Daphnia pulex: one gene and its partner. The protein of the gene in region 1 purifies or fractionates together with the protein of each later gene. This does not show direct contact. Links are inferred from orthologs where the notes say so. Each region holds a gene or a part of one and is shown on either strand. Other genes may lie near its edges. The genes, in order: putative RNA-binding protein Luc7-like 1 and RNA-binding protein with serine-rich domain 1-B-like.

What was found.
Region 2: the proteins of putative RNA-binding protein Luc7-like 1 (region 1) and RNA-binding protein with serine-rich domain 1-B-like purify together in Homo sapiens (affinity purification with mass spectrometry; 3 studies listed by BioGRID and IntAct, counting the BioPlex papers as one, with this or other methods). This does not show direct contact. The link is inferred for Daphnia pulex from reciprocal best matches to the Homo sapiens genes LUC7L and RNPS1.

The regions. Positions count from the first base shown.
Region 1 is NC_060020.1:3,374,452-3,390,200, forward strand, and holds putative RNA-binding protein Luc7-like 1, read right to left. Parts: upstream 7,654-15,749; 5' UTR 7,471-7,653; coding exon 7,410-7,470; intron 7,348-7,409; exon of another isoform or gene 7,347-7,347; coding exon 7,252-7,346; exon of another isoform or gene 6,746-7,251; coding exon of another isoform or gene 6,692-6,745; intron 6,561-6,691; coding exon 6,462-6,560; intron 6,390-6,461; coding exon 6,270-6,389; intron 6,197-6,269; coding exon 6,098-6,196; intron 6,037-6,097; coding exon 5,824-6,036; intron 5,755-5,823; coding exon 5,464-5,754; 3' UTR 5,366-5,463; downstream 1-5,365. Other genes in the region: protein singed-like, read left to right, coding at 1,038-1,163, 1,241-1,360, 1,452-1,630, 1,776-2,094, 2,530-2,650, 3,640-3,796, 3,861-4,022, 4,110-4,246 and 1 more; cytosolic carboxypeptidase 4-like, read left to right, coding at 7,965-8,082, 8,232-8,308, 8,686-8,767, 8,855-8,995, 9,204-9,356, 9,438-9,653, 9,779-10,175, 10,245-10,464 and 9 more; uncharacterized protein LOC124192494, read right to left, coding at 11,946-12,114, 12,387-12,513, 12,669-12,751, 12,816-12,915, 13,465-13,522. UniProt on the Homo sapiens protein: May bind to RNA via its Arg/Ser-rich domain.
Region 2 is NC_060025.1:2,678,133-2,693,117, forward strand, and holds RNA-binding protein with serine-rich domain 1-B-like, read right to left. Parts: upstream 8,680-14,985; 5' UTR 8,598-8,679; coding exon 8,596-8,597; intron 8,495-8,595; coding exon 8,345-8,494; intron 8,289-8,344; coding exon 8,130-8,288; intron 8,063-8,129; coding exon 7,698-8,062; intron 7,638-7,697; coding exon 7,502-7,637; intron 7,438-7,501; coding exon 7,278-7,437; 3' UTR 7,064-7,277; downstream 1-7,063. Other genes in the region: decapping and exoribonuclease protein-like, read right to left, coding at 1-140, 213-269, 339-417, 482-704, 769-1,275, 1,346-1,463; extracellular serine/threonine protein CG31145-like, read right to left, coding at 1,842-2,338, 2,420-2,590, 2,666-2,892, 2,987-3,065, 3,163-3,287, 3,365-3,604, 4,370-4,731; transmembrane protein 11, mitochondrial-like, read left to right, coding at 8,948-8,970, 9,052-9,272, 9,339-9,451, 9,513-9,686; dehydrogenase/reductase SDR family protein 7-like, read right to left, coding at 9,775-10,135, 10,199-10,283, 10,343-10,921, 11,220-11,286; uncharacterized protein LOC124203076, read left to right, coding at 12,697-12,891, 12,966-13,065, 13,130-13,315, 13,387-13,616, 13,683-13,892, 13,955-14,065, 14,127-14,426, 14,496-14,802 and 1 more. UniProt on the Homo sapiens protein: Part of pre- and post-splicing multiprotein mRNP complexes. Auxiliary component of the splicing-dependent multiprotein exon junction complex (EJC) deposited at splice junction on mRNAs.

The DNA of each region.
Region 1 (15,749 bases):
CCCGACGTCGACACAAGTGGTGACTGTCGTTACCACGTTCTCTTTTTCCTCATTTTTATTTAAAAAAATCACCGAAATTTCCCTCCCACAACGTTGCGGGTGCCCGAGTGAGGTTTCTGTCTTGTTCTCTTTTGTGCGAATTTTGGTGTACCATCAGTGTGTGTCGAATCCATCATTCTGATTTATTCAAGATCTGGTCTACTTTGAAAAGGTAATCATAACGGGGCTTTACGAATGTGAGACGACTGAGAGCATGCATGCATTTTTTTGGGTTTTTCGCAACGTGCACGGAAATCGATCGTCTCTAGTCTGCGGGGTTGGATTCTCAGCGTCATGGCTGATTGTCCGTGCACGTGTTATTGCTACTGCCCTGATGATTGCCATAGTCCCTTTTTCCCCCCTCCACCCCATACTACCAAATTCAACACGACCGTGACCCTCATCAAATGAGAAATGAGAAATTTTTGGATTGACATCTCGTGTGAGTGCATCGTGTGTAACGAGAAACCACCGGAAACTCTGGTGGTTGGTCGTTTCTTTCTCCCTCCCAAAGGCTTTGGCTGGGTTTTTTTTTATTGTATTTGAAAAAACATGCAACACATAGTGGGTGGATTTTGACTTATTTGTTACCCTCTTTATATTCTTATCAGATTGAACTACTTAGAAAAAGGGGTTTTGCGATATGCTTGAGAAAACGGATGTTGGATGTGGTTTCTTGGGTTAAAATCCGATATCAAGTTAAAACATGGGATAAAGTTTAAAAGCGAGAGAGGGTGAAGTGACAGCTGTGAACACGTGAACCCTCGGGCATGAGTTTGGTTCCTTTTTTTAAAAAGAGAGAAAAATAATAAAAAAAAACTAGCCTGGGTGACTGGTTGGAATTATGGGTCTGGAGAACATGTGGTGTCGACAAAGCCTCATTACTCTACACGCGTTCCTTATATCCGTTTTTATCATTTTTCCCTTTTTTTTTTTGTTGCAGTGTGAACTTCACATAGATCCGGAATATTAAAAAAAAAACTCGACAACAACAGAAAATGACGGGTCAGAACGGCCATTCCAACGGTGATGTGAATCCAAGTGACAAACCTCTGACGACATGGATGGTTGGGCTTGTCAATTCACGTTTGAAATACCTGACAGCCGAAACTTTTGGATTTAAAGTAACAAAGAAAATAATAAATTAGTTAATTAGTTCAGGACTTGCGTGTGTAATGAACTTGTACGACTCGTTTTCTAGGTGAATGCCAACGGGTTGTTGCTGAAGAAGAAGCAGCTGTGGACTCTGGAAGCCTTCGGCGACAGCACCGACGCCGTCTGCTTGAAATCGCATCTGGACAAGTATCTCTCCGTCGACCAGGTGATTGTCCTCTATTTTTCTTTCTTTTTTCCCTCGCCAACCGTCACCTGTTCGACCGGTTTTTAATATTGTTCTTCTTGCGTCTACCCAGTTTGGTAATGTAACTTGTGATGCCGAAGAAAAGGACAACGGAGCGCGTTTTGAGATCATTGTTCCCGAATCGGCTGCCGGTAAGTGGGCCTTTCGGCACCCGGAACGCGGATACTTTCTAGGCGCCTCCGCCGACAAGCTGGTCTGTTCGGCCAAGACCCCAACTGAGAATGAACTATGGTAATGACGGTCATCATACTAACACTCTATTCGTTTACGACTCGTGTGCCAGTTATTAACTCGTGGTGCTATAATTTATGGCTTCATGAACTCTTTGTGTTGGATCTAACTGATTGTTTTCGCCTTTTTTCAATTGGGTCAATAGGTTCGTCCACTTGGCAGCTCGACCTCAAGTCAACCTGCGTTCAATGGGTCGAAGACGATTCGCGCACTTGAGTGAGCAAGGAGATGAAATTCACGTCAACGCCAACATTCCATGGGGTTCGACGACGCTTTTTACGCTCGAATTCCGCGACGACTCGCGTCTCTACGCCATCCACACAGCCAACAACCGTTATTTGTCGCGAGATGGCCGACTCCTGGAACAATGCAACCCGACTTGCCTCTTTTCACTGGAATACCACGCCGGAGCCCTGGCTCTGCGCGATACACAGGGACTTTACTTGGCCCCCCTCGGTTCCAAGGTTTGTGCTGCTCACATCTATTTTAACGTTATCGATTTTTCTTCTCATGAGTCCCGTTTCACCCCTCCTCTTTCCTCCTCCTCGTTCTTCCCCCCATCATTTTACGAGATTGGGGAAAGAAACTCACTGGTGGAAAGAAAAAAAGAATGGGTTTGCGTGCGCTCGTCTCTTGCCCAACTCGGCTAAAAGGTTGATTGGTTTTCTCGGTCAGGAAAGGAGATGTAGTCGCTGTAGGAGGTTATTGTTCTACTGTTTTGCATTGTGGGATATATTGTTGTTTCCAGGGGAAAACAAAAATCAGGGCAAAATGCTATGCACGATCAATTTCTAGACATAATAATGAACAATATCTGATGTTTTATTTTTGGTTTTGAAAAGGAAAAAAAATGGCAAGTGTTTCATGGTGTTCTTCTCTTGTCTGGTTTGTTTTGACAGGCTGTCTTGAGGACACGTTCAACTTCGGTGACCAAGGACGAACTGTTTACGCTTGAAGACTCACTGGCTCAGGCTGTTTTCGTCTCTATGATGAATAGCCGTTACGTATCCGTCAAACAAGGTAATATAACATTTTAAAGATGCACTTCATTCCTCACATTTGATTTCGATAGGCGATATGAGACAGGATTTCGGCTTTTTTTTAGAATGCGAGTAATATGGGCCCTCATGGGGTGGGAAAGAAATGGGAATACCAGACGTACCTTATTTTTGTATTTTTTTTTTCTGAAAAGAAAAACATGAAAAAAAGGATGTGTCTGTTTCTCTTTTTGACTTGGGTCCGTAGGACCATAACCATTAACCAACCCGGGTTCAAGAGGCCATCCGTCAAGGGCTAGTCGCACTCGAGATTTTGTATTTTCCCCCAGACTAATCAATAGTGGGCGTCTGACAGGGAGTGCACGTGTTGGCAAATGTCGGCTGACAGATGCAAGAAGGTAAAGACATTTATTCCGGATCGATTCTCGGCGCTTCCGCGTTTCGTATTGATCCATCGTCCACCCTCCCTCTGCGTCATGGCGTTCCCTCCTCCCCCTCTCTTTCAACTGCTTTTCCCTCGTCAGCAACAGCCCAGAGGCAATCTTTTGTCCAACTGAGAATTTTTCTTTTAGACTCCTCGACTTACGACTCGGCGGTTGTGAAATGTACGTTTAATTTTACTGAATAGATATTTATCGTAATAGTAGTTGCAAGTTTATAGAATTCACATTGTTGGAATCGTACCATGAGAGATTGTGATCCAATCGTACAAGCCGGATTAATGGCCGTGTGAACGCGACTGGCGTGACTATTCTTTAGCCCGGACGGACGGACTTGTATTGTGGGTAGATCTTTTCGGATTGTCTAAGGGAACATATAAAAAATAAAAAGATAAACAAACCAGGAAAGAAACCCCAACCACAATACGTGACTGGATTAGCCTTTCGAGTACATTTGACGGTCACGAACGATTTCCACGTTGTGCTTACACACACACCATCACGTTCCACATGCACATTACTGTAATTGAAGTACGTATTTAACAACAACAACGAAAAAATCTTTATTTAGGTGTCGATGTCACGGCTAACCAGGATGAAATCTCCGACCATGAAACTTTTCAACTCGAGTTCGATGTTTCTACTGGACGCTGGTACATCCGAACGATGGGTGACCGCTATTGGACTTTGGAGACTGCTGGGGGCATCCAAGCATCTTCAGCCAAAAAGTATTAATTGAACGAGTGTATTGTGGGTAACCAAGTGTGGGCAACTAATAGTTTTTCTTCGTAGGAGTTCGAACGCCCTGTTTCAAATGGAATGGCAGCAGGACGGATCGATTGGGTTCCGCGCCAACAACGGCAAGTTTGTCGGCACTAAAAAGTCTGGACATCTGTTTGCCAACACCGATTCGATCGATGAATCCAGCAAATTCTTCTTCTATTTAATCAACAGGTTTGAAACCATTACTGTTACAAGACACTCTGAAAGACCTAAATCTTGACCCAGACAGCTGACGAACGATTGTTATTGATCTTTTAGACCCATGCTGGTATTGAAATCTGAACAAGGTTTTGTTGGCTACAAGAGCGGCTCAAATTGTAAATTGGAATGCAACAAAGCCAACTACGAAGCCATCCAAGTTGAACGCGGGCCATTGGGTCTAGTCTATTTTAAAGGTATTATTAAAGAGTTATTTCTAGTGTCATTCCAGTGATGGCTGGTTGTTGTGTATTCAAATCTTTCTTCTTTTTTGGGTAAAATAGGTCAGAGCGGTCGTTACTGGACAGTAAGCTCCGACGGAATTACGGCTGATGGAGACACTCCAGAGGGTTTCTATCTGGAGCTGCGTGAGCCTTCCAAATTGTGTATCAAAAGTGGCGACGGTGCGTACCTAATGGCCGACAAGAACGGTGTATTCACAGTCGGAAGTCGCGATTCTGAGCTGGCCACTCGCTGGGAATTTTAACACGCACACTTTGATTTCTCTTTTGCCCTATTTGTCCTGGTTTTTTCTTGCTGTTTTATCCGTAGTTTTTCGTCGCTTATTTCTGTTACACACGTTCCCAGGAAATTGGTAACACCGTTTAAAGAAACACATTTACCACTGCTGCTTTTTTAATTACATGCCATCTCTATCGGCTTGCAAAGAATTAAAAGAGATGCGCTTCAGTAAGTGTGTCTCTTCCAAGGGACATCTTCGAGCCATCCGGATTACCACTTTTCATTGCATCAGTAACCGGAACGCCCAAGAGTCTTAAAAAGGGAGGAAGTTTATGCTGCTTTATATTGCCATTGTAATCTGTGGGAATCAAATTTTTTAAAAAATTTCTTAAATTATTTCCGTTTAATTTTCGTTGTTTTGCATGTTCATCTTCCAACGAATATAATGTATACTCTCTTCCACTTACATACGTACCACCGTGCGCCAAAATGATGACGAAAGAAGCATCGGATTCTACAAATGTGAAGAGCAGTTGCAATATACCAGGGACCTGCTGCTGTTTGGCGTATCGAGTGAGCTACGTCAATGTGTACATGTGGAAGTGAGTATAGTATTTTCCTACTCAATCATCATCGCTTCCAATAATGCGGATGAAAATTCTTTTTTTTTCCCAATTTTAAGAAACTCTGTAATTTATATTTGATATAATTGGTCGTGTGTATTGGAAGTCACTTTTGGTAAAATTACACGGACATCTAAACAACGATTTTAAAATTGTTTAGTAACTTCGCTCCTGACTAGCGTTATGTCGCTTTTGATTTGTAATGCTAAATTAAACATTAAACATCTAGTGTTTCAGATTAGAAGTGTATTACTTAGTAAAACAAGGGATGGACAACGGGCGAGAGTTCAGGATTGTTTCTTGTCAAAATACCTCTTGATTGTGTGATGCTAATAATTTTCTGGGTGGATGCCAGAGTCTCGAGAGGAAGAGCGTTGCCGGTGATTGCGGGACACGGGTGAACGGGGTCGGTTTCTACCATCCTGACGTCTGTCACGAGGTCGTTCCGGTGATCTATCGCGTGAACGACGTCTCTCTCGCCGTCGGTCTCTTTCCCTTTCTCTCTCACGTTCCCTTTCGCGATCTTCTCTCTCACGCTCACGTTGTCGTTCCCTTTGTTTCTCTCGATCGTCCGCCACTGGCTGAGTGTGGCGTTGACGCCGTCTTTCTTCCACTTTGACCTGTAACAAGTCGTTAAAAATTTACTACTTCAAAGTTTAAAAAAGACAATAGTCTTCGCTATCTTCTACCTGAAGTTCAGCCAATTTCTCACGAATTTTAATGAAGCCGAGGTGAAGTTTTCCACCAAAATGATCTGCCAAACGTCGGTCGTTATCGTGAATGCCGAGGTACGCGGAGCAAACTTCGCAGACGCGTAGTTTTTGTTGTTGGTACGATGAGGCCGGCATGGCGTTTCGATATTCTTGCTCAGCTGTTGCCTTCTTTTTGCGGAATTCCTCAACCTTGACGGCACAAGGATGGAACTCATCCAGAAAAAACGACATGAATGACATTACTGTATACCTCTTCCATCATCTTCATCGATTCATCGACGAACCCTTCAGCGCCCAATTGTTCCGCCTTCGCCAACTTTTGACCGATCTGTTCTGCTAGAAGATGAACCTAAGTTGCCATGCAAGAGTTCGGCTGAATACATTTTTGTGAAAGGATGTTTATCTAGGATACTCGAACGAACCTTTTGGGCTTTGGCGGCCACTTCAGCAGACAATTCTTCTTGGGTTTCAGCCAGCCGTTTTTTGGCAGCTTCTGTCTTCCGGTCGCATTCACCAACAAAAGTGGTCAAATGATCCATGGCCTTAAAAGGAGAGAAAAAATTAAATTTTTTTTAAAACGTAATTGGGCTAGTTAAATTAGTTGTTCAACTCACATCGACTTGATAGCCATAATCCTTGGTTTCGCTGGCCTTTTCGTAGTCGGCACGTAGAGCCAAATCGTGAATGTTTACGCATTCTCCAATGTCCATCCGCTAAGAATCGTAAGTTAAAAAATACGAATAGAGATCACGAATGGCGGAGCTTGGCTGACGTGAGACTCGCCAACCAGACAACAAAAATGATAGCCGTTGTAAATGAAGAGGATTCGTGGATTCACACTTACCCAACCGCCCTTTTTCACTTGAGTTGGCTCAGCATGGACACTATAGCCAGCCATATATTGTTGATATACCAACAGTTAAATATGTTTACTAGGGACAGGAAATTCTAGCCACTGTACTTTTTGGCTGATTAAAAGTAGCTGTTGGATTGTTCTTATAAGGTACAAAGGAGGTTGGCAACGCACCACTGCCATGAGTCTTACTTACGGCCACTTGAGGTGTAATGTGGTACTGAGAAAGCGATGAGTAATCTGTAGCTGATACCCCATTATAACATCACTGCACCACGCAAAAACATAGAAATATCAGTTAAAAAGTCACGTCCCCTTGTTTAATGGTCCCCTGTGTCTCGAGAAACTGACTAACTGATCTTGATTTAGCAAACGAGTGCATAATGGGTAACAGTTCAAGTATTTGCAACACAAATTTGCAAAGCAAGATCAGAAAGGAGTATTCTTTTCAGGCACAATCTTTTACAAGCAATACAACCAAGGAGTTGCTTTTTTTTCTCAAATAAATGAAGGTTTGAGGGATCAAGAGAAGTATCTCTTTAAATACTTACAGTTGAGGCCAAGATCTCATGAGGGCAGCATCCCAGCAGAAAACTCTTGCAGACTTTAGGATCGGAAAACTTGACGTTGTATCGAGAACTCTCACCTAACACATAAGAAAAAAAATTTATGGAATCTTTCCAATGCTGCAAATAATTTATTCTGTTACCATCTCTTGTTGTTCCCATCAACTGATCTAACATAGCCCTCATTTGGTCTTTGGCAGACATTCTGCTTCAAGTTATTTGAGTGGTCGATATTGTTAAAGGTATGTAAAACACGTGATCGTGTCCAACTTTTAAAATACTATTTTTATGTCGGTGAATAAAGTGAAACTTTACCAACTTTAACAACTCACGACACACTCGCACTGAAGGTATTGGGGCGATGACAACTAAGGAGCCTCAGGCGACGCTGCAGGTATTTTCTTCTGTCCTTTCGGCGATGTCAAATTTCAGCAAAGACGACTCGCTCGCTCATTACGAATTCATTTTATTGTATACCAGGTGTGCATTTGCATCAATAGGTGGCCCCTGTTTGGGCTCGTACCGGCTCAATGTTTTGTTTTTGTTTTTCGTGTGAACTCGTTTCTACAACTCTCTTGATTATCAGTGAAAGTGCATCCTGAAGGTTGAACATAATTCGCTGGAACAGACTGGTTTTCAATCAGTTAAGTTTCCAGAGTACAACACAGAAGAAATATTAACAGAAAAGCCTGAATGTAATGGTGGAAGAAGAAGTGGAACAAGAAATCCTCGGTGAATGGAACTCGATCGCTGAAGATTCAGAGGCGATCGCAGCGTTGACTCGTCGAACGAGGAATCTTCTTCGCGGTTTTAAAGGTAATCTTGTGTTCTTATCTCAACAGCCGATAATTGCTATTCATTCAACAATATCGTTTTTATGTCCTTTATGCTCAAAACACGTTTTTTACGTAATATCACCGTGCAACATTAACAAGTGGGCATACAATGTAAACATTTATTTTTAGATGCGAAACACTTGCAACGTTTTTTGGAAAAGCTATACAGTTCTGTAGCTTTTTCGAAGTTGGTGAATCTTCTTAAGGTATGACAGCTGAATTTACTTTCATATATTTAAAATTTAACCAGTTTAAATCATTACGCGATATGTTTGTCTATTACGTCGTAAAGAAAACAGTAAACGGAAGCCAAAAAAGTCTAGGCAAAATGCCAAGAGTAGTTTGATTCTTTCCAGCAGGCGGCAAGTGCTTTCTGATTTCGCGATAGTTTAAAGACTTTTGATTACAAATTTTATGATGTTAAATTTTTTTCTATGGGCTAAGTCAACCTCGAATTTATGCCGCATATTTCTTTTACTGGGTTTAGTGTCGGATGGTTCCCGAAATTCTACATCTTGATTTATGTGTTTACGAAATTTGGTCTTTTTGCCCTGTGTAACAATGATGTCTTTTGTACTGGTAGATAACACGGAATAATCAAACCCGGGGTGATATACTTTACATTGCCCAATCTATCTTTGAAGCACAATCTGCTAACAAAAAAGGTATGTTTTATACTCAAACCCATTATGTCATCATAACACTAAATCCAAGGTGACCAATGATAACAAACAAAAGCATTTAAAATACAGATGCTCCTTTTTCGAGTGTGGTGAGCCCTACGTTACTTCTATGGCCTGTACTAATCGAACTGGCTTTCGAGTTGGAGATTGTTGTACTAACAGAACAACGCTTTCTAGCGTTGGACATACTCAATCACATTTTTAAGAATAGTAAGAATTATAACCCTTTGAGCACCAGTGTCATGCGTGTATCTTTCGTTGCAGGTTTGCCAACATTTCTCGGCCTCTCGCACTCTCAAATGCGCACGTAGATTTTCAAAACTTGGATAAACTAAAAAAATCATATGATAACAGACAAGAACGACAGCTCAAAGTATTTTCTGTTACTATTCTTGACTTTTTTTTCTTGCCTTGGCAGAGACGAATACATTGACCGTTTGCCAAACGGTCGAGGCAAACCGACTCGTCCTCGATGTGCTCAAGTTGCTCGAGTCAAAGGAAGGAAACCGGAAACTTACACTGAAGCAGCACAAGTGTGCTGCTTCCATTTTATCGAGCCTTGCGCGACATAGTAATCACGATTTTTAAATAATTTCTTCTTATTGTGATTAGAGCGGACGATATTGTCGTTGGCATTGTTTTGACATTTCAGAAGAAGGACGCCAAGTAATAATTGAAGCCAAAGTCGTAGAGCGCTTGCACGCGTTCTTGCTGGCGTTACCAAATGAAAAAGCTCGCGATACCCTCATCCACAAAATCGGGCAGACTATTCTTAGATGTGTTCCACTTCATGATCTGCCTGTAACTAACGGCACACATTCTGCCTTCCGTTACCTGCCATTTGAATCCATCTCTTCCGGATCTTTAGGTTCATCATTTTCATATCTTCCGCCTGTCCCAATTCCCACCCCATGTCACTCAACCCCATCGCCGTACAACATTTCACTATTTTTGATTTCGGTTTTCATGAATCATCTTTTTCTTTTAAATTAGGTAATGGCGCGACGTCCGACTCGAGTGAAGAAAGTGAGGAAGAGGAAGAAATAGGAGACGGTTCACTTCCTGGTTCTCGTAACTGGTCGTTTTGTAGTGGGACAAAAAAGAAGTCAAAGAAATTCTCACCGCCGACTAATCCGTACCGAAGTGCCGAAGAACTAGAGCAATACCGACGACATTTCGATCTGAAATCCGATCAATATGAGGAAGACGAACTTAGAAACATATCTAAGATTGTACCACCAAATTTGAATCGCCAGCAAATTTATGAATTTTTTGCGCGTCGAACGAAATCCATCCATGGGTTTCGTCTTATTCCTTGTCCGGATTGGAGCAATTCGAGTGGCAGCTCAGGTAGAGAGCCCTTCTATATCAAAGACCGCAACGTCTGCAGGTACACGAATTACTTCCTTATTAATCTAAATTGATGTTTAAAAGTAACAATTTTCCTTGAATGTTTTAGGAGTAAACTGTTCAAATCATTGAATATGGTTTTAAATCCAAATTCGTATCGACCAGAAGTCGTTTACGACCTTGACTCTTTGTTATTGGATGCAGAACAGACTCAATCTATCCGCATGGAAGATTTTGAAGCCGCATCAAAACATCGCATTAGTCAACCCAATGCTCCACTGGAATTCGAATCACGCTTCGAAAGCGGCAATCTACGTCGTGCTATCAGGGTATGACAGTCTAAAACGTCCCATCAGAGTAATTACTATTTTTAAGGCATCCATGTTAAAGTTAAATGTTTTATCTGTTAGATTGGAAGCCATGAATACGATTTAATACTGAATGCCGACGTCAACTCGTTTGGTCGTCAACAATGGTTTTACTTTCGTATTTCTGGCGAAGGAGTGTGTTCATCAAAATCTTACACTTTCAACGTAATTAATTTGGAGAAGCAGCGAACGCTCTTTCATCAAGGTTAAATAATATTTAATTTGACTTTCTTTGATGTTCTGTGTTTCTCATTGTTTTTTCGTGACATTGATGTATCCCTTTATTTGCAATCCTTTTATTTGACATGGGATTAGGCATGCAACCCTTGATGTTCTCTGTGAAACGGTATATGGTAACACGTACCCAGCCGGTTTGGGAGCGCAGTGGCACGTCCATGTGTTATTACCGCAACGGCTTCCGACAATCAAATGCCGAACAAACATCTTACTGGAGTCTTTCCTTCACGTAGAAATTGTTATCGTCCCTTAACGTTTTATTCATCGATTTATTCAAAAATTTTGTTTTCAGTGTGACCGTTCCGTACGACAATGACGTTTTGTACATTGCTTATCACTATCCGTATACTTACAGCCAATTAATGGTGAGGTTAAATTTAATATTTGCTATTCAAATGTACTCAAATTTGCTTTCTTTTACAGACAGATGTAGTTACCTGGTTAAGGACACCATTTCCTATCGGATATCCATCCTATAGCATGGATCGGTTACGAATATCGACTCTTTGCCGATCCCCTTGTGGAAATCCAGTTCCATTGTTACTCATCGATTATGATGGAGATGCGAAGGTAATAGCGAAGGAGACACTACAAATGTTCACCTTATTTGAATGCTTTTGTTTCTGACGCATATGGTAACCTTTGTCTTTTAACTGTCTCGCTCCTTGTGTTTGCGATGACTGCGGATGCTTGTCGGCCCAGTCCTGTTGCGTTTTTATGTCTCGAGTCCATCCTTGCGAATCGAATTCTTCCTGGTCCATGAGGGGCCTTGTCGTCACCGCTCTTCAGGATATGACACAGTCTGATGAAAGGCATCATCCACTTTTTATTCTGCCAATGTTGAATGTCGACGGGACGGTGCATGGATGGTACGTTCCAAATCTTTCATTATTAACCTATTTAATTCTACCTAAGTCGCCCGCTTGCCCAATCGCCAAAGGCTGGCGGAAAGCATCTCTTATAGGACAAAATTATTGCAAAATAATGTGCACTAATTTTAATTATTTTAAAAATGTATTCAATTAAGTTAACCAACCAGTTGAGAGAACCATAATTTAAGAAACCAATGACCCAAAAAGGTAAAATTCGGAATGAACAAACGTATGTTAACTAATTCAAAGCCATACGACGATGATGATGCATAATTTGTGCGGTTTAATACTTAACACCTCGATGAATTCTTTTAATCTTGATAAATTTCGGCTTTATCGAGCTGAGTTGCCTTGAGGGGATGTAGATAATGCGGCAAATGGATTGAAATTGTAGAAGTAGCAGCGTGTCTGCTCACAAATGAAATGGTTATTCTGGGCGCAGTTTTCAGCTCGCCAAGTTTGTGTCTGGTCCGTTACTAGGAGACAGTTGGAATCGGTTGATCTAAAATGCAGCGTGAAAAATGAGCCGTTTCATCAATGCGTGAATAAAATAACAGTCACGTTTTTTTTTACATCTCTAATGTTTCTTTTGTACAACAAAGAAAGGGAAGTTAACGATCGGTCCTTGGGTAAAAATATTTTGTCGTTATTATTGATTCTCTAGTGAAAACATCCACGAATAACCTCAGGACAGTACGTTAACTTCTCGTTCTTGTACGGAACATTTATACATGTAATCAATGAAATAGCAGAAAAGAAATAAATGCAACCCACCGGTTAGGTTCTAATCCGTTGGGCCAGTAGTTAAAAGTTCCGTTAAACGGAGATCCGTTACTCAGCCATAGCCAAGTGCTAGTTCCCAATGTATTTCCCGACGTCCAAAAATCAGCTGCTGCGGCTCCTATACACTCGTAAAATAAGGGGGAATTGGTTTAGGGCGCTTCTAATAGATTTTCGAATTTGCATCTTGCCAAAAGGGATGGCCATGACTAAGGTGCCAATTTGTCCAATTCTATGGACATCATATATAAATAGCAGGTATTCGTTAAAGCTTACCGGGGCGAAGGTAATCGGCAAGCTGTTGGGCTTCTTCGGCTGATTCCAAACTAATTAGCTCCATAGCAATCGTTCGACAGTACCTTGTAAAAATAAATATTTTCATAAATCATCATCACGACTGTCGTTCGGGTAGGCGAATGTTACTGGTAAGCTAGATGGAAGTTGAGGCGAGGTGCGTAGGGATTCTGCCAAGAGATGAAGTATCGGTTGTCGCCGATTTTCGCGGTAGAAATGCGTTGACCCGCTGCCAAAAAAACAAACAGAGAAAAAGTGACAATTTAGCGCTTGACGTGCAGCGATGGATGTAATATGCAATGCGAAAAGATTAACCTTGTCCGCAAAAAGTTCTAGAAACACCAGGGTCGACATAAATTACGATGTAGTATAGTAAAGCATTTTTTCCCCATCACAGTTGCAGTAGTTAACAAAAAATTGGCACGCAACACAGGAAAGGCTTGAAATTGAGTTGAAAATTCCAAAGGGAAATGTTTCTTCAGAGCCTTCCAAGCACTATCGTACAAGGGCTTAATTCTAGTGTATTATTTTAGGTTCCCCACGTCAAGACCCCGCAGTCAAAACATGTTATTAAACTGAACATCAATCAGCATCTTAGCTGTAAACCTCAAAATTGTTTTTAAAGCCCCCCTAGCCAAAGCTTGGTACAAACCAAACATTTTTTTTTCCTCACCAAAATAACTTTTTCTGCGGGCCATAATCTTGCGCATCTTGGGATTTAATGCACGGAAGAAATAATAATTTATCTATGCGTCAAGAAGGATTATTATTAGCTTACCGGTTATGGACGCAAAGAAACTCAGGAGTAGAATACAAGATGAAATCCTCGCCGTCATTTCTGTCTGTCGCGAATTTCGATTGCGGAAGCACAACTTTCAATGTTTTTCTCGGCTCTCCTAAACGTGAACTGTCTCGTAGACGACTCTTCCTTCTCACTTTTATATGAAGCGCACTATTTTTATGGTTTTCTTTTTCATCGGGAGAACGACTAGTGATTCAGTGGTGCTGATTGGCCCTCGAGTAATACCTAGCCGTGGGGTGTTAACTGTACACGAAAGAGTTTATTTCAATTTATCCTTTCAGGGACGCTCACGAGGGTTCAGAAGAAAGGAAAACAGCTCAATGACTTCCGAAGCAACAACTATTAACGCCGACTGCTATGAAACTTTGGGGGGGGGGGGAAAAATGAGTGTGTTAAAATTGCGGTCAGCTGCTGACGAGCGACCTATAACATAGCGGGAATACACTGTTCAAAACGGAAAACCGCGACGAATTCCGGAAACCATTCAAAGACTATCTGGATGGAAGCAAATTACAAATTATGCTTTTCGTCTTGTCAAAGAAGATGGGCTTTGCTACCAAATAATAACTACAAAATAAGACGATTTCAATCATTAATAATTTTGGGCAAGGCTTATGTATGTTCGGAAGAAAATAATTATGCGCCTTATGCTTTTGGTCGCCCTAATAGCACGCACATGTTTTTAACACTGTTATTCAGTCAGTCGCGCGACTCGATAACATTTCAGGTTAAGTCGATACTTTTTTTTTCAACTCTTTTCCCATGATATCAAATAAAAACTTGATAGGATATTCCAGGAATTTTCACGTTGTCCTCTTGTACTGTATTGTTATGTGGGAAGAATTTTTTGCAATACCAACTTATCCTGGCCCCTATCGAAAATACCTACATAAAACCGTGGTCTGCAACCGTTAAATTTGTATGTTGCTGTGTCAGAATGATGTAATAAGCGAATGGGGAACACCAAAATTGTAGAGATTAAACAACGCTTAAAGAAATAGTCCAGGTGTTGACACAAAAAAAAATCAAAGGTATGTTAACTAGATAAACGTGAACTGTACAAGAGCCAATTTGTTTTGCTCACCTTTATTAGTTAATTTATTTAAATATAGCAATCATTCACCATACCAATGCATTCACCTTTTCACACGTATAATTATGGGCATTCTCTCTCTATTTTCAACAGTAGCCGGACCGAACTAAGTAACGAGGATTTAAACCGTCGTTGGCTAACGCCAAAGTATGTTACTTTTTTTTTCTACTTTTCGTGAACCATTTTCGACGATGAATGCTACTTTTTCTTAACGATTTTATTTTTCTCTTTATTGCATGTCGCGTGAAATTCACGCAGTTTGCATCACCATCCAACCATTTATCACGCCAAGGTATTCATCGCTCAGTGTCGCTTTTTTGTTGTTGTTGTTTTCTTCAAGTCGTTATTACGCCCATTTTGGCAGGGTTTACTCGAGTTCATATGTCGGATACTGGATGCAAAACCGGCCGTTTTGTGTGATATGCACGGTCATTCCCGTCGCTTCAACGCCTTTGTGTACGGATGTAAAGGCTCGCAGAGTTGGTGTCCAGACGATTGGTCACAGAAAGATGCTCAAGGTGACCATCCTACCATGAAAAAATTGAAAGACGAAAATGGTGATGATGACGACACTACCTCCTTACCGGTAATTCCCGTAATTGGCTCTTAAATGGACTTAATCTTCTGAATATTATTATATTTGTTTTTATTGCCAAGATTATAACGCTCGTTTAGACGTAGTATAGGGTTGGTTAGTCTTCGATCCGATCCGTACGCAATTTGAAATAGTCCCGTTCGTACGGGATGTAAAGAAATTGTTGCTTCCGCACATTTCATTTTAATTTTTCAGTAGCCTTTTCTCTTTCAGTTTGATACAAAGAGTAATGTTTTCTAATTCAAATTGCTGACACAGAAATGCAAAAAGAAAGGAGGATAATCGCGAATGTTTTCAATACTTTTGTTATCGTGCACTAACATTAAAATTCTGCTCCATTTCCTTGTAATAATTATTTTATTTTATTTTCTCTTTTGTGCTATTCTGTATCGCTGTTGGGGCAATGCAGTTTTTCGTGCAATTAATGCAAGCCCAATCGCCGCTATTCGACACAAACCAGTGTTGTTTTGAAGTCGAAAAGAATCGCGAAACTACTGCCAGGATAGTGGGATGGCGGCATCTAGGCATCAAGAATATCTACACTCTGGAGTGCAGTCTGGCTGGATCTAACCA
Region 2 (14,985 bases), on another chromosome or scaffold:
CGGAAAGAGATGACACGTGACATCGCATCAAATTCGAATAGAAAGTGATCGTTGGAAGTCGAATCCTTTGGTATGCACTCCTTGACAAATTTCAAAAACTTTAAGCAAAAGTTCATACAGATGTTTGATTTCCAGCAGTCCTACAAACAGAAAAAACGTTCCAAATAAGCTGTCGGGCGCTCACAGAAATTTGTGTAAGGAAATCTACTCACGGTGGATTGTTTTCGCAGCTGATTCACATCCATGGTCTCTAGGCGTGAAACTATCCCCTAAAAAATTAATGATAAGTTTAAATTGATAATAACAAATTAATCCATGGGTTTTAACAAGTAATTTACATCATCATCTCGGTAGCCGACGACTATTTTAGGGATGCCGACAATAAAGGATTGAGCCCACCATTTCATTGATTTGAACCTATAGGGAAAAGGATTAAATAAGTGCATTGCGACAACAAGATTCTTTTTTGGTGTTTCGGTACCGATTGAAAGCAGCCTGTTGCATTTCATTTCCAATGTGTTTATTGGTCTTGAGTTCAACAAAGTTCTGGAGATCAAGGAAAGGTGGTTGGCTTTCTTTTGTGACGGCATCAACTTCCGCTCCATAAAGAAGAGGGAGGCCACCGATTCTCGTTTTGAGAACGCAGCAAAATTCGGCATTGGTATTGACCTGCTCGTTGGGATTCGGGTTTCCGTTTGGAGAACCTATAAAGTAATAAAGCAAGTTGTACAAGGAATTTTGATTTAGAATATATCAAGCTAAACATACTGGCACAGAGATATTGCTCAAACTTGAATCCCCAGATGGACTTTTCTTTCTGCACGGCAATTGAGCCATTTTGCTTTTTACTCTCCTTAAGTTGCCATAAATAGATGGAGTTTTGAAATCGGGTAGCAAGTATAGTCCAATTCTCCTGGCATTCATATGGGGTTGCAATCAGCAGAGTGAGTAGTCCACGATAACAGACAAACTCAACCAGCAAAGGTCTGAGAGGATGTTCATGATCAATGATATTCTTGTGCTCTGCCTTTCGCTCTTGAAGGATCCATCTCAGCAGATCATCCAACATCTTCTGTCTGATGGACTCTTCATCTTTTTCAACAACTCTTGATACTCCTCTTTTCAAATCAAAATTGACCTTGCAGCTCCCAGATGTTGAAGCTTCTGGGGGCATCGATAGATACCTAAGTTCCGAGTAATCATTCACATAATTTCTGTGGATATCTAATGAAAACGAACCCACGTTCTTGGGCCTCGTAAACTCTGGGAAATTCCCTGGAGAATAGAACAAAGAACAAATAAAATACACAAGAAAGAAAAATGTTTCAAAGAATCGTGTTGATACCGTCGAACTCTTCAATGTCAATCAAGCTCAAATTCTTTCTAAGTTTCTCGTTGTTATTATTCCTAAATCTTGGATCTCGAATTGATCCATTCTTCATATCTATGTATTGGCGCTTCATTTTCCTTTACTTATTAGTTCGAAGACGAAAAGAGCACATGTGAAACATGTGGTGACCAAGACTCGATTGAAAAGAAAACTTGAATTTTAATAATAGACGAACAACGTTGCCAAACGTTGACCGATAAAAACAAAACATTGTTTATATTTAAAACTTTTTTTTTATTCGTTAAAATACTTGAGCTGTATTCTTTTTTTTTCACAATATTTACGAAAAATTTACGTCAAAAACCTACAAAATATCCAATCATGTTAGTATAATATCAAGTGGAAATTCCGCCAATTAAATCAATAAACAAGTTTATATAATATGAACATGTTGTCAAACGTTTTTGAAGAAGACGTGATATTAAAAAAAAAAATACGACATTCGTCATTATTATAAATTTCCCATTTTTGAATTCTTATCTTTCCAATCTGCGAGACCGACAATAACTTGATCGGCTTCATGTCTACTCAAACAATGGCGAATGACACGTAATGTAATGGCGACGCGGCGGTCCATGGCATCGAAATGTCCCGCAGCTAAAATCGGATCAAGTGGATCGCGTGCCAACGACTTGCGCATGAGAGAACTGAGTCGAAATGGCCCGTGATGAAAACGTAAAAGAGTTGCGAGCGTCGTCCGCCTCACAAGGCAACATTGGTATAGTGGAGCCAAAATTGACATTTCGTCGTGATTGGGTCGACCGAACGCACGACCTTGATCCAAGTGAATGGGGAACGTTTGATTGCCAAACAAACTCAGAGTTTCATAATGATGACGATCCATGTTCCCGGCCAAGAAATCGAAGATGGCCAAATCGATTAAATCGACCAATCGGCGTCCTTCGTTGTAAGGAGGAAGTTGGCGGACTTGATCGCAGTATTGATCATCTATTTTTGAGGAGGAAAAACAGTGAAATTCAATAAATCGGCTATAAAACGTGTGATAACTTTTCATTCTGTATCCTTTACCTTCTTCCCATTGGGCTTTTTTACGTTTGTGGTAGGATCTTCGCCATGGGTGGCGCCAAGTTTTTCTTGGCACAAATTCTTTATCGGGCAAAAAAGCGGCCAGTGATGCTTCCATTTGGTCTGGATGACCGCAAATAGCGTGGCCGGTATCACAGTAATAGCTGCATTTACCTGCACATATACACAGAAGAGAAATCGTGAATCACAGAGTCTGGTCACCCAGAGATTGGCTGTCACCGTGGTTACCATGGAAACAGAGATTTTGTGCGGGAGAAATAAAGAAAGTTCGCAATAGCTCGCCAGTGGCAAGGGCATACAATTCGGTGGTCATGTTGACCAATCGACCGACAACGGGTGGAGCTCGCCGGAAGCCCATAATTCGATCAAGGTGGAAGGCGGCTATCTCGGCGTTGTGACGTTCGTAATCGGTAAAGTAAAAGTGATTAGGTAAAGTTTCCTGTTCACGCGGGAATCTGAAAGGTGAACAAAATAAATTTTTCAAAAAAATTAGGACGAATGTTTTGAATAACCCAAGTACCAAAAAAAAGAATAAAAAAAACCCTTCACCTCATGGGTTTCAACATCGCCATCCCCCCTGGGGCAAACTCGATGACTAGTTTCAGCTGCGTACCACCTTCTTTTTGACCTATTTTCACGCAGAAAGAAAAAAATACAATAACAAAATGATTCGTGAATTCATTCGTGAGAAACAAAAACCGGTTTATAACCGACGAAAGACTTACTGATGTTGTAAAATTCTAGACTAGTCATGTCTTGCAGGAGTTCGTCGATCATTGGGTCATCCTCGTGGTATAACTCTTCCTTCGAAATAGAGACGTGAAACTTTTCCCAAGAAGTGGCATCCTCACTTTTATTACAAAAATCCATTTTAATGACAGATGCCGTTAGATTATTACATGCAGGGTTTTTTCCCCCCTTACTTACCTAAGACTAACGTTGCGCAGCCGCATAACAGTCACGTCCAACTCACGCAGGTGACCTTGAACGGGCCGACTCAGCTCTGCCGGCACAATGTATTTCATAAGATCTTTGAATTGACTTTTACGGTGATCCAAACCACTGCCATCGGAATTCTTGTAGGTTTTATTTGTATCCGATGGCGAAGACCTTTTGCCCTTTAAAAGGTCCCGCATCACATCCGCCTTGGAACCCTGTTCATTGTTGCTTTAAAGGACAAAATACACATTGGGGTTGATTAAATGAAAATAAAATGGTCTGGCGAAATTTTTAATAAACGAGGCCACCACGCATGAAAATCATAGATAATAGCAATTCTAGCCTCAGCGACCACCAATACCAAGTACCAAAAAATGGAGGTGGACATGCGGAACGTGCCCAGCTAGCGGCTATGATCGATTGTGTTAAAAAGAATTGCTGTGTACGGTACTTTCTTTCTCCAGTCCGGTTTTTGCTATTTGTTGACTGACTGGCAAAATTTATATTCACAGTTGCAACGAAGAGAGAAAGTCCCCACACAATTGTATACACATATGTCTATAAGCTCATCTGCCCGCTACAAATAACAGTCGTAAAAACCCCCCCATCGTTAAAAGATAGCGGTTCCTTTTCCCGTCGATTTGATCAAAAGTGTCATTAAAATAGTTTTCGTTCAGCTCTTTCGTCCTCTTTTTTCTTCAGAGATATCTTTCAAGTCGTAAAGTAATCGGGGGCTTTGTTTCCGCCGTTATCCAAAGTTGGAAATCAGTACAACGTGTACGTACGTAGGTTAGTTATAATGCAGCTTTCTGCTTTCTAGATCTCATCCCGGTAAAGAAAATTGGTGACAGAAGTGATAGTTGTTAACCTCAATTCTCCACCCCAGCCAACCCGTTTTGAATTTTTGCTTTTCATTCGTGTCTCGAATCTTATCTTTTTCTTTTAGCTGAACACCAAAAAAGATAGTTCCTTTTTTTCACAATGTAAAATTACCTTTGTTGGGCAGCTGGGTCGTCATCGTTGAGTGTCGCGTTGCTCGCAACGACCCCGAGCTCCATATCGTCATTGTTGTTGGCATTGGGCTGCTGCTGCTGTGCAGTAGGAAGAACTGGATGTTCTAGATTATTAGACGGCACTACAGCAGCAGGATTGTGTTTGTCGAGAAATTGTCGTTGAAACTCTTTCCCCTCTTTTTGTCTGGCTGTTCCGTGCCTGAGCGCTGGAAGAATAAATCCGGCATCGGGTTGCTCTGCTCGTCCTCCACTGGAGGCGTAGCGTATATCAAGCACTAATACGGATGTGAGGAGGACAACACTCACGCCCAAAGCCAGAGCCACTCTTTCCTTCCACTTCATCACTACAATTCTCTTGTTGATCTCGTTGATGGTATTGACGGCGGCCCAGCGTCCGATCGTAATTGTCTTGGCATCCCTTTTCAAAAGGAAACTATTGGGTAATGGCCCAGAAAGAAACCGAACAAAAAACAAAAACAAATTGTGGTGTTATTCAATTGTTAAAGAATGAAAGGAAAACCCTTTCACTGAGAATAATGGATAGACAAAGCATTACCTCAACCTGATTTATAATATGGGGAGTCTGGGAGTTTGTTGTTTTTTCGTTCTCGACCGTCACTCACCAAGGGGAAAAAATAACCACAACTTTCACTATTAACCTTAAACTTTGTGTGTGTGCTGTGGTGGTGCGATCAGCTCACGAACATTTTTTCTCTCTCAGCACGAGATTTATAGCTCGACTACAACAACAATAACAACAACATCACGAAATCAATTGGTGCTGTGCAGAAAATCCTCCCCTCTCGAAATGTGGCCAAATTTTTGTTGTGTAGAGTCACTCGGTGATAAGAGAATGTTGATAAGATGATGAGACCATCGTCGAAAGACGTGCTACTGCTAAAAACATTCGACGGGAGACTGACCGACTTCGGGCTGCCAACGTGCCTTTTAATACACTCACTCTTTTCTTTTTCTTTTCCCCATTTTCTTTGACTATGGCGGCTGCTATGCCAGTGTGAGTATACCAAAGCTAATTTCAAACGTCGGCTGCATTCCATACACGCCCATCGATTTTTCTATGCTGTGCTTATTACTGCTTGCTACAGTTTATTCGAAGCGATTTGATCAATAATCAATCGTTCGTGACTGCTGCTGCTCGACGACTCTATAAAACTGAGTTACGATAGCTAAAATTCAATGATTACGTAACCATGGCAATTTTTCGCGACTGCAATTGCATTTTACCTTCTCCTTCGATGTACCAACAGGAAGATTATTTAAATGAAGTCTAATAACCGGTTTCGCTCGCTGCTGTGGACCCCGTGGTGGTGTAATTACAACATTTTCATTAGAAAGTATTGAATTAGTAAATTTTATCATGGACCTGGAACTAAATATGGTATTAGACCAGAACTGTAGATTGAATCTTCCTTTAAGAAACGTCCTACATTTGTCTTTTGTTTAAATTTTCCAATTCTGAAATCCAGAAATTTCTCTTCACATATTTTTTCTGTTTGTTTTTTCCCTCCGTCGTGTTGAAGGGGGGGAAATCCGGCGTTTGTATACAAAAAGTTCGACAATCCCACAGTCCACTCGATCGTGAAAGCGAAGTGACTAACCGCAATAAGGGATGGGAAGGGAGAAACCGTATCAATAACATCATTAACGGGCTCTATTCTATGGACAACATGTTTATGGTAGGGAAGCTCTTATTTCTATTCTCAACGGGACCAGCAGATAAGTATAGTACGGGCCTATTATACTTCAGTGCAACTACACGGATAGTTTACAAAGTACAAACAAAAATTAGAGGGGCATGTCGTCTTTGTTACGGTCGTGAGAACTTTTTTCCGTTCCGGACGAAAATAATAAAAGATTGATATTTTGTTCTGACTAAACTCTTTTAACTCTTAAACAAGTTTTGACCTTAGGCGAAATAATTTCAGCCGCGTTACTTATCCCGCCTTGAAAGTCCATTAAATTACAATTATCGTGATGCTCATGTCTACGATTTAACCGGTTGGGGATCGAGGTGCAAGTTGATTCAGCCGTGGAAGAGATTGTGGTCGAAGAAAAAAAAAACAAACAAAATATTCTCAAAAACATTTCCAATGCGATTCGCTGACTGCTAAGAGGATAATAAGAACCAAACAGACTTCCGTAATTGAGTACAGCTGTGCAAACAAATTTGTTCCAACTGTTGGGCGCGCCGTTGCCGGATGTAGGAAGACAACACAATTTACCAAATCGACTTTTTCATAGGAGGAAAAAAGCAGTTAGAAACAGCTACATTCCGGTTGTGAGAAATTTCTACCCTCCCCCTGATAAAAATTTGCTGTTCCTTTCTTTGTGTTTATAACACCGAGGCGAAACCGTATCTCCCGCCTTTCACATGTCACTTGTAAACCGGAATGAAAGTGTTCTGACTTGTCATGTCCCGCTACACACACTTCTATTGAGTTTCCAACAAACAGATCCAACTAGTTTTTTTTTAAGGCTTATCCGGTTTCTCCTCCAGCAGCCATTGACTTTAAAAAGAAAGCATTACTACTCGGATTACTGGAAAACGTCAGATGGCAACATAAACTTGCGGTTGGGTAACTTTTTAAATTGATAGATAAAATAATAATAAGACTTTTCATTTCAAATGAAAAAGAAATGTAGTAGAAACAACTGAAGGACAAATGCCATTGTCAGGTGATATTGTATCGTCTTGCAGGATTCCATCGAAAAAGGGAAAATTTACGGAATACGTGTGGCATTTACGCTATTGACTCATCAGCAACAGCTCGGGCGAAAGCAAAATCTGAATCACGAGCACAAAGTTGAGTTGATAAAAAAAAAAGAGTGGACGTTCTTCAACGTTAAATAAATCATGATTGTCTTATTTAACGCGAAGAAGATGATGAACTGCGACTGTAACGGCGATTGTTGCCACCTGAACGGCGATTGGGTGAACGAGACCTGGAACGGGCAGGTGGAGGTGGTCTCCTATCTCTGTCCCTTCGTGGAGGAGATCGTCGACGTAGGGGAGAACGTCTTCGGAATCTGTAGAAATGAACACAACAGATGCAAATAACCGGAATAAAGATTTACTTTAGTAGTATATTACCTTGGTGGAGATCGACCACCACCCATGCCCCAACGGCCCGGTCGATTTCTGGGTGGTGAATTCCGTCGAGGTGGTGGTGGACGGTTTTTAGGGATCAGCACAGGGGCGGCTGTGATTTCTTGTCCATCAATTTGGCCTAGAGATTATTTGAGATTAAAAACGTATTTATAGCAGTAACCAACAAACGTTACTTTACCTCCGTCCATATGCTTCATTGCATTTTCTGCTTCGTCGGCAGTACTGAACTCGATGTAAGCAAAGCCCCGGTGGAGGTGACTTAACCCAGCACGTTCGTTGGGAAACTCGACAGCTTTGATGGTTCCGTAAACGGAGAAAATTTCGTTAATGTGTTCCTTGTTGACATTGCGCGTCAGTCGGCCGATGTGGATTCGAAGTGGCTTGGGTGTAGGTGAACGATCGCGACGACGCCTCCGGGGAGATGTAGAGCGGGATCGTTTGTTTTCTTTGTTTCTGTCTTTGTCAACATTCTTTTCTCCATCCAGTTTTGTTTTCTCTTCATCAGGTTTGCTATCAACTTTTGGCTTATCACTCGCTGGGGCTCTGTACGTCAACAAAAATGCTGTTATCACAAGAAACTTGTTTACCGTCATCCAACTAGAATAATTACCTCTTTTTCTGGTGCTTCTTTAATGAACCGCTGGAACGTGAGGAACCTGATGAATCAGAAGAGCTAGATGAACTAGATGATGATCTAGAGTCTGAAGAAGAACTGCTGGATGATCGTGAACTAGAGCTGCTGCTACTGCTGCTGCTGGACGATCTAGAACTGAAATGTCACATTAAGCTGAAGGTTTCATTAAACACAACAAAGTTTAACACTACCTTCTGCTTGAAGAACTATCACTGCTTGAAGCTCTGCCTTTTTTCTTCCCAGAATCTTTGGTATCCTTTTTGTCTTTGCTAGCATCTTTTGATTTACTGGAATCTTCGCCGGCTTTCCGGTCTTTTCGATCGCCAGTTTCTTTGTCCGGCCTAAGTGATTTACACAAATTTAAAATATTGTTAATTTAGATTCATCGTAAAAATTTACTAAATTATTAAATGATGCTGAGGATTTAACTCGATTTACTCACATTTTCAGAAAGTTTTATTGAAAAACATACGAGTTGATAAAGGGGAGGAGCGTTAAAAACAGACGCTTAATGCCACTTGCACAACGTTGCCTGTATTAAATAGATTCTCGTTTTTATTTTTATGAATGTAAAGTTATAGTTTTTTAATTGGAACAAGTTATGTGAATTTTTTAAAGATTAAATCAAAGATTATTTAATTTTTTATTATTAAAATGTTAAACTAGTTGTACGACAGCCGACGGCAACGAAAAAATGTTTCGGCAATGATTGTTTTTGGGCTGTTGCCGAAACTCTACAAGGCCGTCAGTACGTATAGCAACCACTTGAAAACACTGGCCAAGTGGCAAAAGAAATGGCAGACAGGAGAAAGAGCAGGTAATCCCTTGCATGACTGTTTAAAAATATTATAAGCTTCCGGTCGTCACAATAATATTATGATGCTGTTTCAAATTTTAGCGGGCCACATTCGGCGGAAATAGCGGTCGTAAGAGAAATCTATGACGGTGAAAACGCCCAGGAAAGATTTGAGCTAGAACTAGAACGAGCTCTGGAAGCTGCTGTTCCAGTAATTGTCATTGAGCCAGTTCGACTAGGCGATGAAACGGCGCGATGGATCGCCGTTGGAAATTGTCTTCACAAGACAGCAGTACTTGCTGGACTTGGTTCGGTCATAACAGGTAAATTGTTGCTAGTATTCAGTTGTTGCATTATATAAGTCTAATTTTGTTAAATTTCCTGTTTAGGATTTTTCTGTGATAATCGTCCATACATATACACTCCATTAGGTCTCCTTTCCTTGCTGTGTACAGGACTGTACACAGCATCTTGGCAATTTGATCCTTGCTGTAAATACCAGGTAGAATACATACACTTGACTAAGTTGGCAAAGGTCATAGCAGATATCGGTTTTGCTTCAGGTTGAAATGGATACAAAAAGACTGGCCAAATTACCAGTTAATAGGTTGACCACTTCCAGTCCCATAGTTCTCGTAAGAAGAGATGATAACAAACGGAAGACTCTTCATTGCACCATCTGTGTTACAGCAGCTAGCATTACCCTTTGGAAGCTGTACTTTATTGCCTTCAAGTAGTCTTGTTATAAAGAAAACTTCCCAAATGTACAAACTGAACAATACATCCTTATTATATCAGAATGTATTAGAGATTCTCTACTAGAAATTAACGACTTTTTTTGCTCTTGGCCGCTCGACGCGCCATAAGTTTGAAATAAACGTTGGGTAGAATTGCACGAAGAAATACTGCTAAACGATAAAAGAGTGAGCAGAGCATCAGCTCTTGGGTTTTTTCCTTAATTGCAATGACAATTTCATATGCAGCTTGGAGTGGATCCGCTCCCGACTCCGTAGTTTCATCCGTCTGTCCATATTTGTCTCCTCGGCCCGTCAGCGCGTTCAGAGACAAACTTGTGCGGATGTATCCGGGGTTAATGACTGTCACATCAATCTTGTGACGATGGATTTCCGCTCGCAGACTGTCGCTAAATGCCTGAAGTGCATGTTTGGAAGCAGCATAGGCCGATCTGGAATCGACATAGACGATAAAAATTAAATATTAATGTATTCAAAAACATGATAAAACTTACCGAAACGGAATTGCCAGTTTTGATTGAAGTGATCCAATCATCACGATATGGCCACTTTGTCGTATTATCATTGAAGGAAGAATAGCTAAGTTACAATTAAATCAGAAACCCGATTTTTAAAAGATCACATTTGACGGTATTTACCTTTAGTCAATCCAATTGTTCCGAAGTAGTTAATGTTCATTACTTTGGCATCCACTTCCAGGGAAGTATCAGTTACTTCTCCTCTGTAACTGATTCCAGCGTTGTTCACAAGTATATCGACATATCCGTAGACCCCGAGAATAGTTCTTACTTTGTCCGCTAAATTGTTTAGGTCTTGAAGATCTAGTTCAATGATTACAGGTGGATAGATGGTGCCTTTTCTCAAGCCAGAACCCAGTAACTGTTCTTTCACACGATCAAGTTCAGTGTATCGCCTGGACGCGATAATCAACTTGCATCCTTCTGTGTACAAGCACTTTGCCAGGGCTTCGCCGAGACCAGAGCTGGCACCCGTGATGAGAACAACTTTACCTTCGAGACTGGAATCATGTCTCGAAATTCTTTGCTTTATAGCGAAAAATGCTTCAACCAATCTTCCTATTATTGTTAATGGTAAGAAAAGCAAACAGGCAATACAATTCAACCATTTTTTGGCCCAATTCAGCAATAGATTGCCTTTAAATGGCAGCCTCAGAATCTGTGCATCAGGTCCAGTTTTGCTGGGTGACTCTAATGAACCTAAAATAAAAACAAGAAAAAAATAACACATTTAAGTTACTTCACAACAACACAAATAAGTTATTTCTTAATTATTATTCATTCACAGAAGTTTTGTTTCAAATAATAGTTGCTAAATTTGCAATCATTAAGTGACAGGAAAAGAACTGTCAATTGGTTTTTGACACGGAAAGTGAAGTGTGAATAAACTAATTAGTAACTAATAACACTGCATGTAAGAACTGTCATTGAGCACATTTAGTGGCTGACAACTTGCTCTTAATAGTTTTGCCTGATATTAAAAGTTAATGACACTTACCCAGTGGTATATTGCCATCTGTAGTGGTGGTCGTTTCGGAGGCTTTTCCCACAGACGAAGTTTTCATAATCTATTGTTTTGTAATTAGTAGTTTTAGGCAAAACTCTTAAATGCATTTTTTTAACGTTGAAAAAAGGCGATTACTTACAGAGGTGGCTTCCTACAATGAATGGAAACACGACTTTCACCCTACGTGCCCGTAATGATACTGTGCACGCGGTACAATACTGCTTTTTACCATTCCTCTATCGTGTTGTTGATTATGGTTTTGGAAGCAGTCGAAAATTATCAGTTCAAATGTTAACGTTGTTGAGTTGTATTAGCAGATACTAGGTGGCATTTCAAGGCGGCAAAAATCGAAATTACTCAAACGAGTCGTCAAATCCGCCATAGTAAAACGGTTGAAGTGAAAATCCGCAACAATTTGACAATTTGACAATGACTTGATTTCCTTTTGATTACGAAGGGAAAAACACACTTCCCTATTGGAAATGGGACTTTAAATGGGGTTTTCAAAAGAAAATGAAATATAATCTAATACATAAAATAGCCTGCAGATATAGACAATTTCAATTTACAGAACCTTGACGTCAGTTCTTTTCAAGAATTTAAATTTTTCTTCGATCAACCTTCCTGTAAAAAATTTTACCTTCAGAAAACATTGGAGAGGTCCTGTTTCAAGAAATACATTTGGGGGGAGTATAAAACCAACGAAGCATGCTAGATTGCCCACCAACAACAAAGACCGTTTCCGGTTCTTACCGCAATAGAAATAATCACACATACGCATTTTAAAATGATACCAACATTGAATTCCTATACGTAAACAACATTGACAAACAACCACTATTAATTGCACTACCTGCTGTATTGCAATCTATTATGAATTATCGTGAATTTCAGATCCCTTTCGCTAACTGTAAGGGCTCTACACCGAATTCATTTCACGCTAAGAACGCGCATTCACGCTTCTCTTTTTGACTCGAACAAACATAAAAATTTGCTCCGTTATTTTACTTTCCTTTTTTCACATTCAAATGTGCTGTAAGCCTGTAAGTTTTCTCCCAAATGAACAATGCGGATGCTTGAATCTTTCAACACTTCTTTATGGCCATGCAGCTTTTATTTCTAAAACAATAAGGGGCGTGCCCCATTTCGGAATGTAGCTCAGACTAGTGAGAAATTATATAGGTTAAGCATGAGCCGAGTGCTTTCTACGCGTGCATGTACTTTCTACACAAGTATAAAATCCCTACCAAATGGCCACAATTGATTATTACTAGTGCGTTAAACCATGAATTACCCACAAAAAAGACAATCAATCATATCTTTTCGTCGCAATTCAAGGGTGTGTGTGTGTCTAACTCCGCCTTATATTCTTATCTCTGGTTACAATATAAAACCACTTCCCCGACCTCAATATTAAGATTTCTTTTCGGGAGACTCACGGAATTGTTCCGCAGTGTCTCGGTGAACAATGCTTCGTCAAGAGCGCTGGTCCGCCTGTGCGCTAATTTTCTTCTTTTTCGTCTCTTTCGCCTTCGCCACTGATTGGATTTGCCCTGCTGGCAACAGATTTTGCTTCCAACGAATTCCCAACAAGCGATCGTGGAATGAAAGCCGAACTGATTGCGCTCGAATAGGAGGTGATCTTCCAGGAGCCGACCACTTGGTAAGGAAACGAATTTACTACAGTATCAATTTCTGAAGCGCGTAAAAATAACTTACAAGTTCTTTGATCTTCAGGATGAACTCAATAGTTTGTCGATTCACGGCAGCAGCTCTATTTGGACTAATTTGTGCTTCAGCAAAGGACGTCTGCAGTGGCTGGGAATCAGAAACTCCCGTAATGAAATTTACCTATTTTTATGAGTCCTGTAATTGAGTTAACTGTTTTATCCAAACCGCAGATGAAGAGAAAGATCTGCAATTTATTGATACATTGTTACCTGATCTACCTCTTGTGGCCGACGGCCAACTGTATTGTTTCGAAACCGGTGGCAATCCGTCGAAAACTTTCACATTGAAACACAGTCAAGATTCAGCAAATGCCGTTTGCGTTTCGGACGTCAAATATCTTGTTCGTCAAACCTCAAGTACTTTCTCACTAATTTACCGCATTGAAATACTTTGATCAAACTAAAAATATCTATTACAAACCCACAAGTTCCGACGCCAAGGGGACAAATCTTATCGGTGTCGGCCGTGACGGAGGGCGCCGATATCGATTGGGGACCCATCGGACAAAATAGGGACGGATTCATGAACATTTTTCCGCCTAAAGTTACGTCGCTCAAGTTGAGATGCGATGTTAAAACAACTGGTGATTTGGATAAATCAGCTATTACCATTAGGTGGATGCGAAATGGCGGTTACGTCACAGGCAACTTTACTCAGGTCAGAGAAAGTTAAATTCGACAATCGATTTTTCTACCTTATTAACAATTCAATTACGACATTCAGGAATTGGTCAGCTTTGCTTCGGAAGATGATCTCATTCCGTGGATTGGGTTCATCAGTTGCGAAGCAGTCTACGGAAATGAAAGGGAAGTTGTTCGTGGTGGAGGATTTCACCTATCCATGTGGAACACGGTGACGGCACGTCTGGTTTCCACCTGCCTTACCTGTCGATTGAAAAGTATACTAGATTCGGCAAAAATTATATTGACTCAGGTATTAGCAAATCATAAATTACCCCAAACAATATCTCTCAATTCCAATGTTGTAATCGATAGTATGTTGAAGAGGAAATCGCTCGGGGATCTGGAAATTCAATTGAATTCTTTACGGAACCACCTGTTATCTCTTACCACACCATTTCATTCGTGATTCACACAAGGAATAAGGTATTCGGGTTTGGAAAGTACCGAAATCATTTTCCTGGTTAATAATAAAAAATCTTTTTAGAAAATCGACAAATTTGACTTCAAGATGGTTCAGAAGCTCGGCCAACATTTTCAACTTTCTCACTGGGCAAAGGATCGTTCACTTTTCCTACCCAAAGGAAGCTCAGATTTGGTTCTCGAGATAATCAGTCCGTGTAACATGGCCTTACCCCAGGATCGCGGCAACATAACATGGACTGCCTATCTAGGACAGACGGTACCATCCGGTAATTTCATTGGCGAGCCTATTTGCCTCGATAGCCGCGGAGCCATCATCACCAGAAGCTGCGGTCTACCCGTTTTACGTCCGATCCGTTTCCAGGTTTAAAATCTAAAAGAATTTAATTCAGTATCGTCAAACAACTATAACTAAATGTTTCACACTATTTAGGAATGCTCCGCCATGAAACCCAGGAAAGAAGAACCCAAATGTTTCCATGGATTTGAGCATGCTAACGATGGACAATGTTACCTCAAAACGGAAGCTTCGACATTCGCTACTGCGTTCGCTAAATGCTGGGCCGGTTGGCCTATCCAGCCTGAAATCTTGGAGCCAAAAAGTTTGTCTTATTGGTTTCAAAATTCACGCGATGGGATCTACAAAATTCAGTCAACAGCTTCGGGATTCGTTTGGCTTCCTTTTCGGCATTTCAGTAAAGACACGCCTCTTATGAATCCCCCTTGGAGTTGGATTGCAGGTAAAGTTACATTAGCGTGAATTCTTTTCTTTAAGAAAAATAGTTTCTTAAATTTTAATTATACGATCTAGTAAGCAACCGGTGGGTTCACCAGGACAGTGAACAGGACATTCGAGCGGAATATAATTCGGATGGTGAAGAACTCTGCGCGGCTTACGATCTGACACGTAACCGAATGGTTAC